Rattus norvegicus: one gene and its partners. The main gene of each other region encodes a partner of the protein of the gene in region 2 in a complex. Links are inferred from orthologs where the notes say so. Each region holds a gene or a part of one and is shown on either strand. Other genes may lie near its edges. The genes, in order: Drc7, Iqcd and Drc12.

Region 1 (3,648 bases), on a different chromosome or scaffold from region 2:
TGTTGAGAGGGGTGGAAAGAAGGGCACAGGAAGCCTCTATGCTGAGCTGTGGGCTGAGAACCAGTGAATGACAGAGACCTTCTGGAGTGATCTCAATCTGGGCGACCCACGAAGGCGGCATGTCAAAGCTCTTATCCTCCTCCTCTTTGCCCTGTGAGGAAAAGAGGTGGTTGCTGGCCAGGGATTTAGAGCAGAGGCCATGGTGCAGCTCTGTCCCCTACCCGAGACTCAGACTTGCTGAGGGGGCTGTCAGTTTCCCCCAGAAAAGCAAGAAGTCAGAAGATGATCCAGGATAGGGGAGGAGAGGGGTAGGTTTGGGTGGACTTGCCTAGTCCCTACTTGCCTGGTCTAAGATGATAGGCATCTGTTCTCAAATCCCACCCTTCCAGCCAAACCACTTGTGGCCATGACGGCTACTCAGAGAGGGGATCCTGAGTCAGAGGGAGCCAAACCTTTGGCTAGACCTAGTACCAGGTAAGGAGGGCTGGGTAAGCTTTTCATCCACTCTAAACCTAGGTTTCCTTAGCTGTTAACTAGGCCTCTTGGGAGGACTAATGGATGTTATAAGTCTTGGCTGTTCTTCCAAGGTCTGTGAAATAGGCCTGGTCTAGACAAGTGATCCTCAAACCAAGCTCAAGATTTTCTGTGTGTATTCTTTTTGCCATAGACAATGCTCAGACCTTGGACGCGTGCTCATCTAATTGTGACTTCTTTTGAGATCACACAAGGTCATCTCAGTCAGCAGAGGACATAGGGACTTTTCTGAGACAACCCTGGAATCCCAGGCCTGGCCCTACAGCTGAGAGCTGGCGCTCAGGCTGTATCATCTATCCATGTTGGAGGGACCAGGATTCTCATTCCAGGGGTGTGACAGGGCTTCCAGAAGGAGCAGGCTCCTAGGTTGAAGGGTACACACTGCTGGTCTATGCCCCGCAGCAAACGGGGACACCAGTGTTCAGAATCGAGGAGAGGGAGGACAAGGTGGCCTCAGTCATTCTTAGGCAGCCTTCTGAGCTGAACAGTCACCACGAAGAGCCCAGATAGGCAACCAGACTGTTGGGGTTTGGCTCCCAGATCTCTCACTTATTGGGTGGGTCCTTCAGTGTCTCATTTGGCCCTGCTGTGTATATGTTGTCCTTGGCTACTCAGGAGGCAGAGATTTACATGAGAGAACTCAGATTCCGCACTAGAAACAGAACCTGTCCCCGCAGTGTTGCCTGTTGATATGGGTTTGCTCAACCTACCTCTAAAATCATGTGCTAAAGCCCTCACCCCCAGTACCTATGAATCCAGTTGCATTTGGAAGTCAGGTCTTTATGGGTAAGGTCATGGAGTCTAAATTGGGTCTTTAGGTGATCCTATTACAATATGCAAAGTGTCCTTATGAGACAAAGGAATTAGGACACAGATTCATAGAGAGGGGGGCCAGATAAAACTACGGTGTTCATGGCCATCAGCAAACCCAGGGGATCTCTGAAGAAACCAGCCCTGCTAGCACCTTTGATCCTGAATTTCTAGCCTCCGGGAGTGTGGGGCTTCCCTTATGGCGATGCCAGCAGATACATGTGTTATTGTTGCTATGGATACCAAACACAGACCATGACCCTCACCCTAGTTTTACATGTAAAGAAGGCATGGGAGATTCCCAAAGCAAGGGGAATTTGCCTCCTAGTCTCTCCTTTCTCACACAGGACCCCATGCATGAAGTACCCCACCCCACACACACCCCTTGTTGAAAGATGACAGACAGAAGGCTGATGACGGGATACCCAGGCCAGGGGTCTTTAGAAGACCTAATAGGATCAGAAGGAAAGGCCTAGCTTGATAGAACAATCATCATGGTGGTTAAAGAGGAGCTAGGGCTCCCACTCCAAGAGATGGTCTCTCTAAGGAACTGTCCAAACCTTTGATCAGAGTTCCAGACGGGAGAGACTGAATTCAAGTACTGTCCCTCCCCTAACCTCCTGAGAGGTTCTGGGATGCTCACCGCATCTGTAAAATGAGAGCTCTACAGACCCCTCTGCGTTGAAGAGTGTATGACTGATAGGTTTGGACACCCCCCATACACGCACATGTTTTCAGGGATGTCTGTCAGGCTGCCTGACCCAAAATGGAGTGAGGACCCTCGACCCGCCCCCATGCTACCAGACTCACCTGATCTTCGTCCTCATCGTCATCCAGCCCTTCGTCGTCATCATCAGTCAAGGACAGGTGAGGCTTATCGGTCCCCAAGAGCATGTACTCCCATCTCACAGGGTCTCCCAGGTCAAAGATCAAGTCCTGATGGAGGGGGAACCAACTGAGTGTACCCCCTGCACCCTGTAACTATGCCTGCTCCTAAGGGGCAATGGCTATTACTTGAGGCTCTGCAGAATGTCAGCTCCATCCAGTCTCTAAGAGTCCAGCCACATTCTCCATCTCATCAGGGGAACTGAGGCCCCCACTCCCATCCCATCATCCCAAGGAAGAAATCCTATAGCATGTCCAGAAGAGACTCATCAGTGCCCCCTGCTGGGGACAGCCTGTACATGAAGACATTGTAGGTCACTAAGGGAGGGAAGAACCAGGAACCACGTGGCTACAGGAGATCTCAGAAGGAACCAGCCCTGCCAGGATCTCGGTCCTGGATTTCCAATCTCTGGAACTGTAAATCAAAGAATTTTCATTCTTTAAGTTCCTATCCTGGGCTGGAGAGATGGCTCAGTGGTTAAGAGCACTGACTGCTCTTCCAGAGGTCCTGAGTTCAAACCCCAGCAACCACATGGTGGCTCATGACCATCTGTAATGGGATCTGATGCCCTCTTCTGGTGTGTAAAGAAAAAAAAAACCGCACAGAACAAACTGGGGAAGGTCATATAGCTAGAATGGCCCTTGAGAGCCGGGGGTGCGGCTTTTGGCATCTCTACCATACGTAACCCTGCTATGGGGGGGGTGTGGCCAGACCACCCACGGGCCACATCCTTGGTCTCCACCCCCCAACTCCCGCACACCTTACAGCAGTTCCAGCAGTCCTGCATATTGATCCAGTAGTTCTTGTGGTTCCAGAGACTCTCGATGCCCAGGAAGTGGTCATCCTTGGTGCCGTAGCTGCGCCCGGTAAAAGGGTCGATGAAGAAGCTCTCAGGCACCTCGCGCTTTCCCGACAGCACCAGAACCCAGGAGTGCACCCGCAGGCCATGCAGGGGGTCAGGCTTCGCTTTCTCTGCTTCCTACACAGGGAAGTTGGGTGGTTCGCTCTTTAGGGCACCCTGGGTGAGATTTCATCCAAAGAAATGCAATGCGTTCTACGGATAAGGGGTGCTTTGGTGAATCTTAAGAGAAGGTCCTCATATGTTATCCATTGGGCCCACGTAACCAGCTATGGCAGGGTTGCATGCCCGTGGAGACCCACCAGGAGGCGTTCTTCCTCTTCCTTAAGCCGCTTCAGTTCTTGGTCCTTTATCGCCTGTAGTCTCTTCTCCTCTTGCTCCTGCTCAAACCTGCTGGTCAGGTCCCGGGGCGGCTTGACGGCATATTTCTTAGGCGCTACCTTCTCTTTCTTCGCGACTATCTGTCACCCAAGAAGAGCGGGAAGTCGAACTTCCACCTGCACTCTACACAGGCTTAATGGGACAGACGAGGGCTAGCACGAGAATATTTAAGCACGCA
Region 2 (3,748 bases):
CATAAATGCACACACATACATGCACATATATAAGGATGCACACACACATGAACACATATACATGCATATACATATGCACATACATGCACATGCACACGTGATACACATACACATATGATTACATGACTACAAATACACATGCATACACAATACACATACATACATAATACACATCTGTATACATACATACGCTACACACACACAGGCAGATGCATACACAAATATCATCACACAAATACACACAAGCAAGCAGGCACACACACACAACACACATGCACACACATCCATGTGCACACATACATGCATAACACATACACACGTGCACACACATACACATGCTAAATAAATGAAACTGAATTTAAAATGCAGGTTAGAGAGACGGCTCGGTGGGTAAAATGCTTGCTGCTTACGCATGTCTGCTGCTTGAATCAGAAGTTCCTTCACACCCGTGTAAAAGCCAGGTGACACACAGAATAAAAATAAATCCTTCATCTTTAAAGAAACATTAATTACCAGAGTGTAAGATATCAATATAATTAACGCGTGTAGGAAGCACAGAATTTGTATTTGCCTGGCATTTTGGTGCTGGGGATTAAATTTAAGGCCTCACATGTGAGACACACTCAATGCCATCTGACTGCAGTTTGAGCCCACGTTATTCTTTCAATAATTAAACCTGTACTGAGACTAGAAGGAAAACACATTTCCTTGTCCATTAAAAGATGAAAAGTCTCCTGCACTTGGAAGCATTAGAGTTAAAATATTTTTGTTGGCTACAGGATCTAACCTGTTGCTATAACGAAACCTGAAGTTCAGAGATATTTTCCTCTGATGCTGTTTCAAATGTTCTTGAATTTTAATCACGTTTGATTCCAAGAACACCCGCTAGGGGCTCAAAGAAAAAGTGTGCATGTGCCTGTGTGTGTGTGTATATCTATATGAGTGCAGGTGTCTTTGGGGCCAGAAGAGGGCGCTGGATCACCTGGGAGTCAAATTACCCACTTTATGTGGGCACTGGGAACTAAGGGTCTTCTGAAGAGCAGTCTGTGCTCTTATTGTCTAAGCCATCTCTCCAGCCTCCACTGACCACCCTAAGCACTCAATAAACCCCTGTTAAATGTGTGAATGATTCACTGTGCGAGCCAAGAGAATGTCCTAGGAAATGTTTAGACAGAGAGAGTTAGGGAAGAATGAGTCACTGCAGGGATCACTGCAATTAGCTGAGCAGTCATCCTGTGCCTGTGCCCATTCCCACCCTTCTTTGCCTCGTCTCATTCAATCTTCCCAAGAAATTCTTCTTTGTCTTCAGGATGCACAAGGAAACCACATTTTAAGGATATGAGTGAAAATGTAACGTTAACCTCAAAGCAAAATCCTGTGTATCCAGAAAATAACCAGGCTGGAAAGATGTCTCTGTGTTTAATAGTACTGGCTGTTCTTGCAGAGGATCTAGGCTCTGTTCCTAGCATATACATACCAGCCCAGAACTCCAGGTCCAGCGGATCCAGTGCCCACATCTGGCCTCCTCAGTCACAGCACACACACACATTGTGCACATACACTGCACACACATACATGTAGGCACCCACAGATACATAGAAAGTAAAAATAAATGAATCTTTAAGTTATTTTAAAGAGTGTGTATGGCTCTTTCAGAGGACCAGAGTTTAGTTCCCTGAACCTAAGTTGGGCAGCTCATAACTCCCTGCTAGTAATTAATTTCAGCTCCGGGCTCTAGAGGGTACAAAACACTTTTTCTGTGTTCACATTCACACACCCCACCAACGCAAGCATAGTGATCAAAATAATAATAATAATGAAAACCTTTAAAAACAATTAAAGAAAAAACTAATTAACTAGGGGTGGTGGCATATGCCTTTAATCCCAGTACTCGAAGGCAAAGATTGGTGGATCTCTGTGAGTCTGAGGCTAGCCTGGTCAACAGAGTGAGTTCGAGGCTTCATAGTGAAACCCTGTTTCAAAACCAAAACAAACAACAAACCCTTATTTTTAAGAATACACTGAAAGGGACCGTGCACCTCCGAACATAGTGGCGACAGTGGGCGCCAAACAAAACAACCCATCCCATTACTTGAACTAAATTCACTCTATGTCTTCATAAATGGTACCACTGAGGGATGAGGAGCGGAGCGATGAAATGAGGACCAGGAGACAGGACAAGAGGATGCGCGGTGGTCTTTGCAGCAGGCCTAGAGGAGGCCTGGATGGAGCTAGGGCAGGGGAGTGAGGCCCCGGAGCTGGATGGGATGGCAGTGGGGTGGGAACCCCTGGGGGTGTCACTGAACGGTGTGCTCGCTAGGTGCACACAGCCTGCAGCCCCGGGCTTTCCCACTGTCACTCACCTGCTCCACGAGCTGCAAGTTTCTCTGCCCACAGTTTCTCTGCCCACAGTTAACCAAGTCGGCGGCCCCTGTGTTGCTAGGTTACGAGCCACTCCTAGAAGGCGGGACTTTGCATTTAACTGACCTCCTTTTTCCCCATTCAACTTCTAGTCAGATTGAGTTGGCTCCGCCTTCTTAAAGATGGCCAATCAAAATCACCGCCTCCCTGACGTTTCGCCAATGGAAAGACCCGGGATTCCTGTTGGTTGAGTGAGTGAGGCGGGGGAAAAATGGGTGGTGCTTCCTCGCTCTGTCCTCCCTCCGGGAGGAGGCCTGTGAGAACAGTGAGTGACATGTAGTTTACCCTGTCAAATTTCATTGCGACCTCTCGGATGGCCAATAGGCCGTGGCGTAGGGCCGTGGGCGGGGCTTGCGAGGCTGAGTGACAGGAGTCGGCGGATGCGAGGGCTGGCGCAGCTGCCGCTGTGGCAGCGGTGAGGCGGCGGTGGCGGCTGCTGAGGCTCCGCTGTGGGGATATTGGCGGCAGCAGCTGCGGGCTGAGCTGCGCTGTGCAGACCCGGTGCACGGTGCGGGATCCGGGACGGCGCGTGTAAGAATCCGAGGGGTGCGCGATCTTGGCCGGAGGACAGGGGTCAGGGGTCAGAGGGTGCAGAGAAGGGGCTGGACTGGGACTGGGTGCTCCCGAAGCCCGAGGCGGGGCCTTGGGAGGTGGCCCGCGTGCTTCTCTCCCTGAAGATCCCCTTCTCTTTGCACGCCTTTTATTTGGCCTGACTTTCTGGACCCGGACTGCAACGGGGATCATGGGGAGCTGGAGCCTCTGGGTGACCCTTCCTCCCCGCCTTCCCTCCCCTCACTTCCCGGGGCTGTGTCCTCTTGTGACCCGGCCGGGGACTCCTGCCCCGGTCAGTCTGCCCCAGAGGACAAACCGAAGGATTGCAGTTAGCCATCTGATCCTCGGACTTTCTTCCAGGGGTGACCTTACCCTGTGGGTGACTCTCTGGTTCCTCTCTAGAGTGAGAACCGAGGTTTGCCAAAGGGCAGGACCTGAGGAGCTCTGAGTCTGTGTCTGAGCCTGCTGTGTAACCTTGGACAGTTTCCTTCTCCTCTCTGGGCCCGTTTCTTTCTCTTTGAAAAGTCATAGGTTCCTTGGGAGGCAGAGGCAGGAGGATGGCAACTTCGAGGCTATACAGGGCTCGACAGGGATATCCCTGTCTCAAAAGATAAACAAGAAAGTGGTTGGTGGATTTCACTTAAGTGGAGTGCCGTTTCTAGGAATAGTTGTGGGACCGCGCTGAAATGCGGGGGGGGGGGGGGGGGGGGGAGGAAGTACCACCCGCGTTCCATGACTACTTGTGTCTGTTTACTCGTGAGAGGCGAGTTAGCCA
Region 3 (3,748 bases), on a different chromosome or scaffold from region 2:
CAGCTCCTTTTGCAGGGCTTGACGCTGGCGGCTCATCTCTGAGGTAGGAGCCGTAGGCAGCAGGAACCAAGGTAGGGATGGAGGCATGAAGAAAGGAAACAAAGTTACATGTCTCAGTGGAGTCTCGGTGGAGGAACAGAACCAAGAAACTCGGGAGACCTTGAAAATTTGGGGGATAAGAAACAAGACCCTTTCCCCCATATTTAGGGGGGATTCTGGCAATTCCTCCTACTTACTCCCAAAGATGAAGAAGATAAGGGCTGTGACTATATTTTGTATCACGCAAACACTAAGCACGGCGCATTAGACACTCTAGAATGTGGGAATCCACCTTCTACCAGGGATCTATCTTTGATTCTCAGGACACTGCCTACGCACGGAAGTATAGCAGTTGGAATTCCTCTTCATTTCCCGTCCTTGGATTCCCTGACCCTCTTGCTTGTCCTCCTCCAGGCCCATTTCCTGCCTACCTGATCAAACATACCTGCATATACAGCCCGCCCTTCACTTTGGGTTCTTTCCAGTTCAGCTTCCAGCCCTTGTAACCTCTGTTTCAGCCTGTCTTCGGAAGCCTTGGCTCGGCAAGCCTCTTCCCTCTGTAGAGCTGTGAATAATCTCAGAGCCATGCTCAGGTCTGGCTGAGGATGCCATGGACTCAGTCACCACAGCCTTGAACTATGTGTCTCTCTGGGAACTTGACAGGTGTCAACCTCTTATTCCGTGTCTCTCCCCCCATCCCCCTTTGAAACCCATAAAGTTTCTATTCCTACAGAGTCAATAGTCACTCCCTGTTCTGGTTACTAAAAAACAATGGCTTGCTTCCCTGAGCTGCAGGTTAGCTTCATGGTAGACTACTTAGCTCTCACGAATGGGGTTGTGATTACATTCCCAGAGTCAGGGGAGAAGAACAGCTTCTTCATCACCTTCACTGCCTACCCTTTCTTCACGATCTTTGCCAACAGAGAATGGCTGGCTTGGTTTAGCACCCCCTGGACATAGTTTAAACTGCCAGTTCTCCAAGAACCCAGAAATGCCCCATGTGCCATGGGCTGCGTGAATAGTTCTGTGTCAACTTGACACAAGCTAGAGTCATCAGAGAGGAGGGAGGAGAATGCTTCTCTAAGACCTGGCTGTAGACAAGCCTATGGGGTATTGTCTTAATGAGTGATCGATGGGGAGGGTCCAGCCCACTATGGGTGGTGCTGCCCCTGGGCTGGTGGTCCCGGGTTCTATAAGAAAGCAGGCTGAGCAAACCACGGGGAGCAAGCCAGTGAGCAGCATCCCTCCATGGCCTCTGCATCAGCTCCTGCCTCCAGGTTCCTGCCCTGTTTGGGTTCCTGGCCTGACTTCCTTCAATAATAAACTGCTTTGGAAGCACAAGCCAGATAAACCATCTCCTTCCCAAGTTGCTTTGGTCGTGATGTTTCCTCACAGCAGGAGGATAACCCTGATTAGGACATCATCTCTGCTGTCTCCTGAGGCTCCACTCTTCTTACCTAAGTGGTCCTGAAGCAGCTCCTTCTCTAGCAGCACCAGCCTGTGCTTGGCCTCAGCCTCCACACCTGTCATGGCAAGACCACAAAGTCTTAGGCTATCTTGATCTCGATCCTGCTCCGTCTTCCATGCTTCTTGCAGGATGGAGGAAAAATCACTGAGGGAGGGATACTCAATGGCAAAAATCGGACAAATTCACTGCTTCACTGCCTTGTACTTGGTGGGTGCTCAAAAGAAAACTGTGACAAAGGCAAAGAGCTAGATGGGGCTCCAGGGGGATTGAAGTATTCTCCGGTTCCCCAGCCTGGTGGAACCTGGACTCAAGGCTCTGAAGAGGAGGGCAAGAAAGCTTCACTTGAGCTGGAGAGATGGCTCAGCGGTTAAGAGCACTGACTGCTCTTCCAGAGGTCCTGAGTTCAATCCCCAGCAACCACATGGTGGCTCACAACCATCTGAAATGAGATCCGATGCCCTCTTCCGGTGTGTCTGAAGTCAGCTACAGTGTGCTCATATACATAAAATAAATAAATATTTTTTTTTTGGTTCTTTTTTTCGGAGCTGGGGACCGAACCCAGGGCCTTGTGCTTCCTAGGCAAGCGCTCTACCACTGAGCTAAATCCCCAACCCATAAATATTTTTTTAAAAGAAGGCTTCACTTTAGCCAACTGTGGTGGCAGTGCCTAGTGCCAGGCACTGGGAGCACCAGACAATCCCAGCACTAGGAAGACTAGGAGGATATGTTTGAGGCTTGCCTGGGTTCCATCGTGACCCTGTATCAAAAGAACAAAAGACAAAACCAAAAGAAACCCACTCCATTTTGTTGCCCGATGGGCTGGATTCCCTCTGAGGACCTTTGTGTGGACTGTGGACAAGGACACACAGGGACACTGCCCTTTACCCACTGTGACTCACCAGGACTTGAATTCTTTTTCTTCTTCCGTGTGGCAGCTTTTCTCCCCTTTCCTTTGGTTTTAGGTGGCATCCTGCTGTCCTGGCGAAGGGAAGACCTTCTATGTGGATCAGCAGACAGACATGCTTTCCTGACTCTTAGACCAAGCTGGGAGTCTCTGGAGCTTCAGAATTCTAGTCTTCCAGTGTATCTTACACTTTCTAGAAGCTTTGCTTCTTGGTCTCCTGGGACCCTTGGGGAGGGATGGAGTCAGTGAGGGAGAATAATTCTATGTGCAGCAGTTAGCCTCTTGAGAAACTTCTGGACCTGGTCCCTTCTCTCTCCCCAAAGTATGCCTTCTCCCCCCTCCTATCTACCTGCAAGACTCTCTCTTGCTTGTGTGGTGTCTCCCTGGGGAATGCCATGGGGACAGTAAAGAGAGATCCAAGCAGATTGAGCCTAGGGAGGAGCCCGGGTCCTGGGAGCCAATCCAGGGTGTAAAACTTCCTCAAGAGGCAGGACCAAGAACTGGGATGTTGGGTTTCTGGAGACTGCAGGTTGTCCGGGCAACTGGGAAACAGGCAGGTGGTGAGCTAAACCAAAGGGAAGCTTCTCTTCTCACGTCCATGTCCCAGCCCTAAAGAAAAGCTTTGGAGTTGAATGGCTATTTTTCATGTCTACACTGCCTGAGACTCTCTAGGCTAGGAATCTAGAAATTTAGTCTTGGAGAACAGTGTTTTACAGACATAGCAGAAAGGCAGGGACAGTAGCCATGATGGCTACTTTATATCTGGAGTTCTCGAGAATACAGTGATGTTATTTACTTTGAAAACGAAGGTTCATGCTTCAAAAGGCTACTGTGATATGTGAGGGAAACACTTTCTGGCACAGGTGTTGAAAGTTTTCCACTTACAAGATGTGGAGCCATGGACTTCAGGATGTTGACCCACCCAGAGAGAGGAGCACACATTAGGCAGAGTCCATGAGTTCAGCTACTTAATTTTGCTCAGCTTGAATTTCTTTTTTTTTTTTTTTTTTTTTTGGTTCTTTTTTTCGGAGCTGGGGACCGAACCCAGGGCCTTGCGCTTCCTAGGTAAGCGCTCTACCACTGAGCTAAATCCCCAGCCCCTCAGCTTGAATTTCTTGGTGTATACGTTTTGTAGCTCCTGACTTCGGTGGTGTGTTTGCAGGACCTTTTTTCTCTCCCAGTCAATCTTGCCTCCTCCCCCTATTTCTTTATGAGGTTTAATCTGCAGCCCCCAGGCACCCTGCAGCATAAAGTTGGTTAGGGCTCCCTCTAGTGGACCTGCTTGACCTTCTGCATCCCCTATTTGCAGTTTAGTAATTTCTTGGGCGATATTGGGG

Evidence for each region.
Region 1: Iqcd (region 2) and Drc7 share a complex: the UniProt entries of both Homo sapiens proteins name them as parts of the nexin-dynein regulatory complex. The link is inferred for Rattus norvegicus from reciprocal best matches to the Homo sapiens genes DRC10 and DRC7.
Region 3: Iqcd (region 2) and Drc12 share a complex: the UniProt entries of both Homo sapiens proteins name them as parts of the nexin-dynein regulatory complex. The link is inferred for Rattus norvegicus from reciprocal best matches to the Homo sapiens genes DRC10 and DRC12.

The regions. Positions count from the first base shown.
Region 1 is NC_086037.1:9,957,095-9,960,742, forward strand, and holds part of Drc7 (dynein regulatory complex subunit 7), read right to left. Parts: intron 3,551-3,648; coding exon 3,392-3,550; intron 3,210-3,391; coding exon 2,991-3,209; intron 2,281-2,990; coding exon 2,155-2,280; intron 152-2,154; coding exon 79-151; intron 1-78. UniProt on the Homo sapiens protein: Component of the nexin-dynein regulatory complex (N-DRC) a key regulator of ciliary/flagellar motility which maintains the alignment and integrity of the distal axoneme and regulates microtubule sliding in motile axonemes.
Region 2 is NC_086030.1:41,630,607-41,634,354, forward strand, and holds the start of Iqcd (dynein regulatory complex protein 10), read right to left. Parts: upstream 2,400-3,748; 5' UTR 2,364-2,399; intron 1-2,363. UniProt on the Homo sapiens protein: Component of the nexin-dynein regulatory complex (N-DRC), a key regulator of ciliary/flagellar motility which maintains the alignment and integrity of the distal axoneme and regulates microtubule sliding in motile axonemes.
Region 3 is NC_086026.1:53,473,702-53,477,449, reverse strand, and holds the start of Drc12 (coiled-coil domain-containing protein 153), read right to left. Parts: upstream 2,792-3,748; 5' UTR 2,477-2,791; coding exon 2,407-2,476; intron 1,563-2,406; coding exon 1,497-1,562; intron 605-1,496; coding exon 485-604; intron 39-484; coding exon 1-38. UniProt on the Homo sapiens protein: Component of the nexin-dynein regulatory complex (N-DRC), a key regulator of ciliary/flagellar motility which maintains the alignment and integrity of the distal axoneme and regulates microtubule sliding in motile axonemes.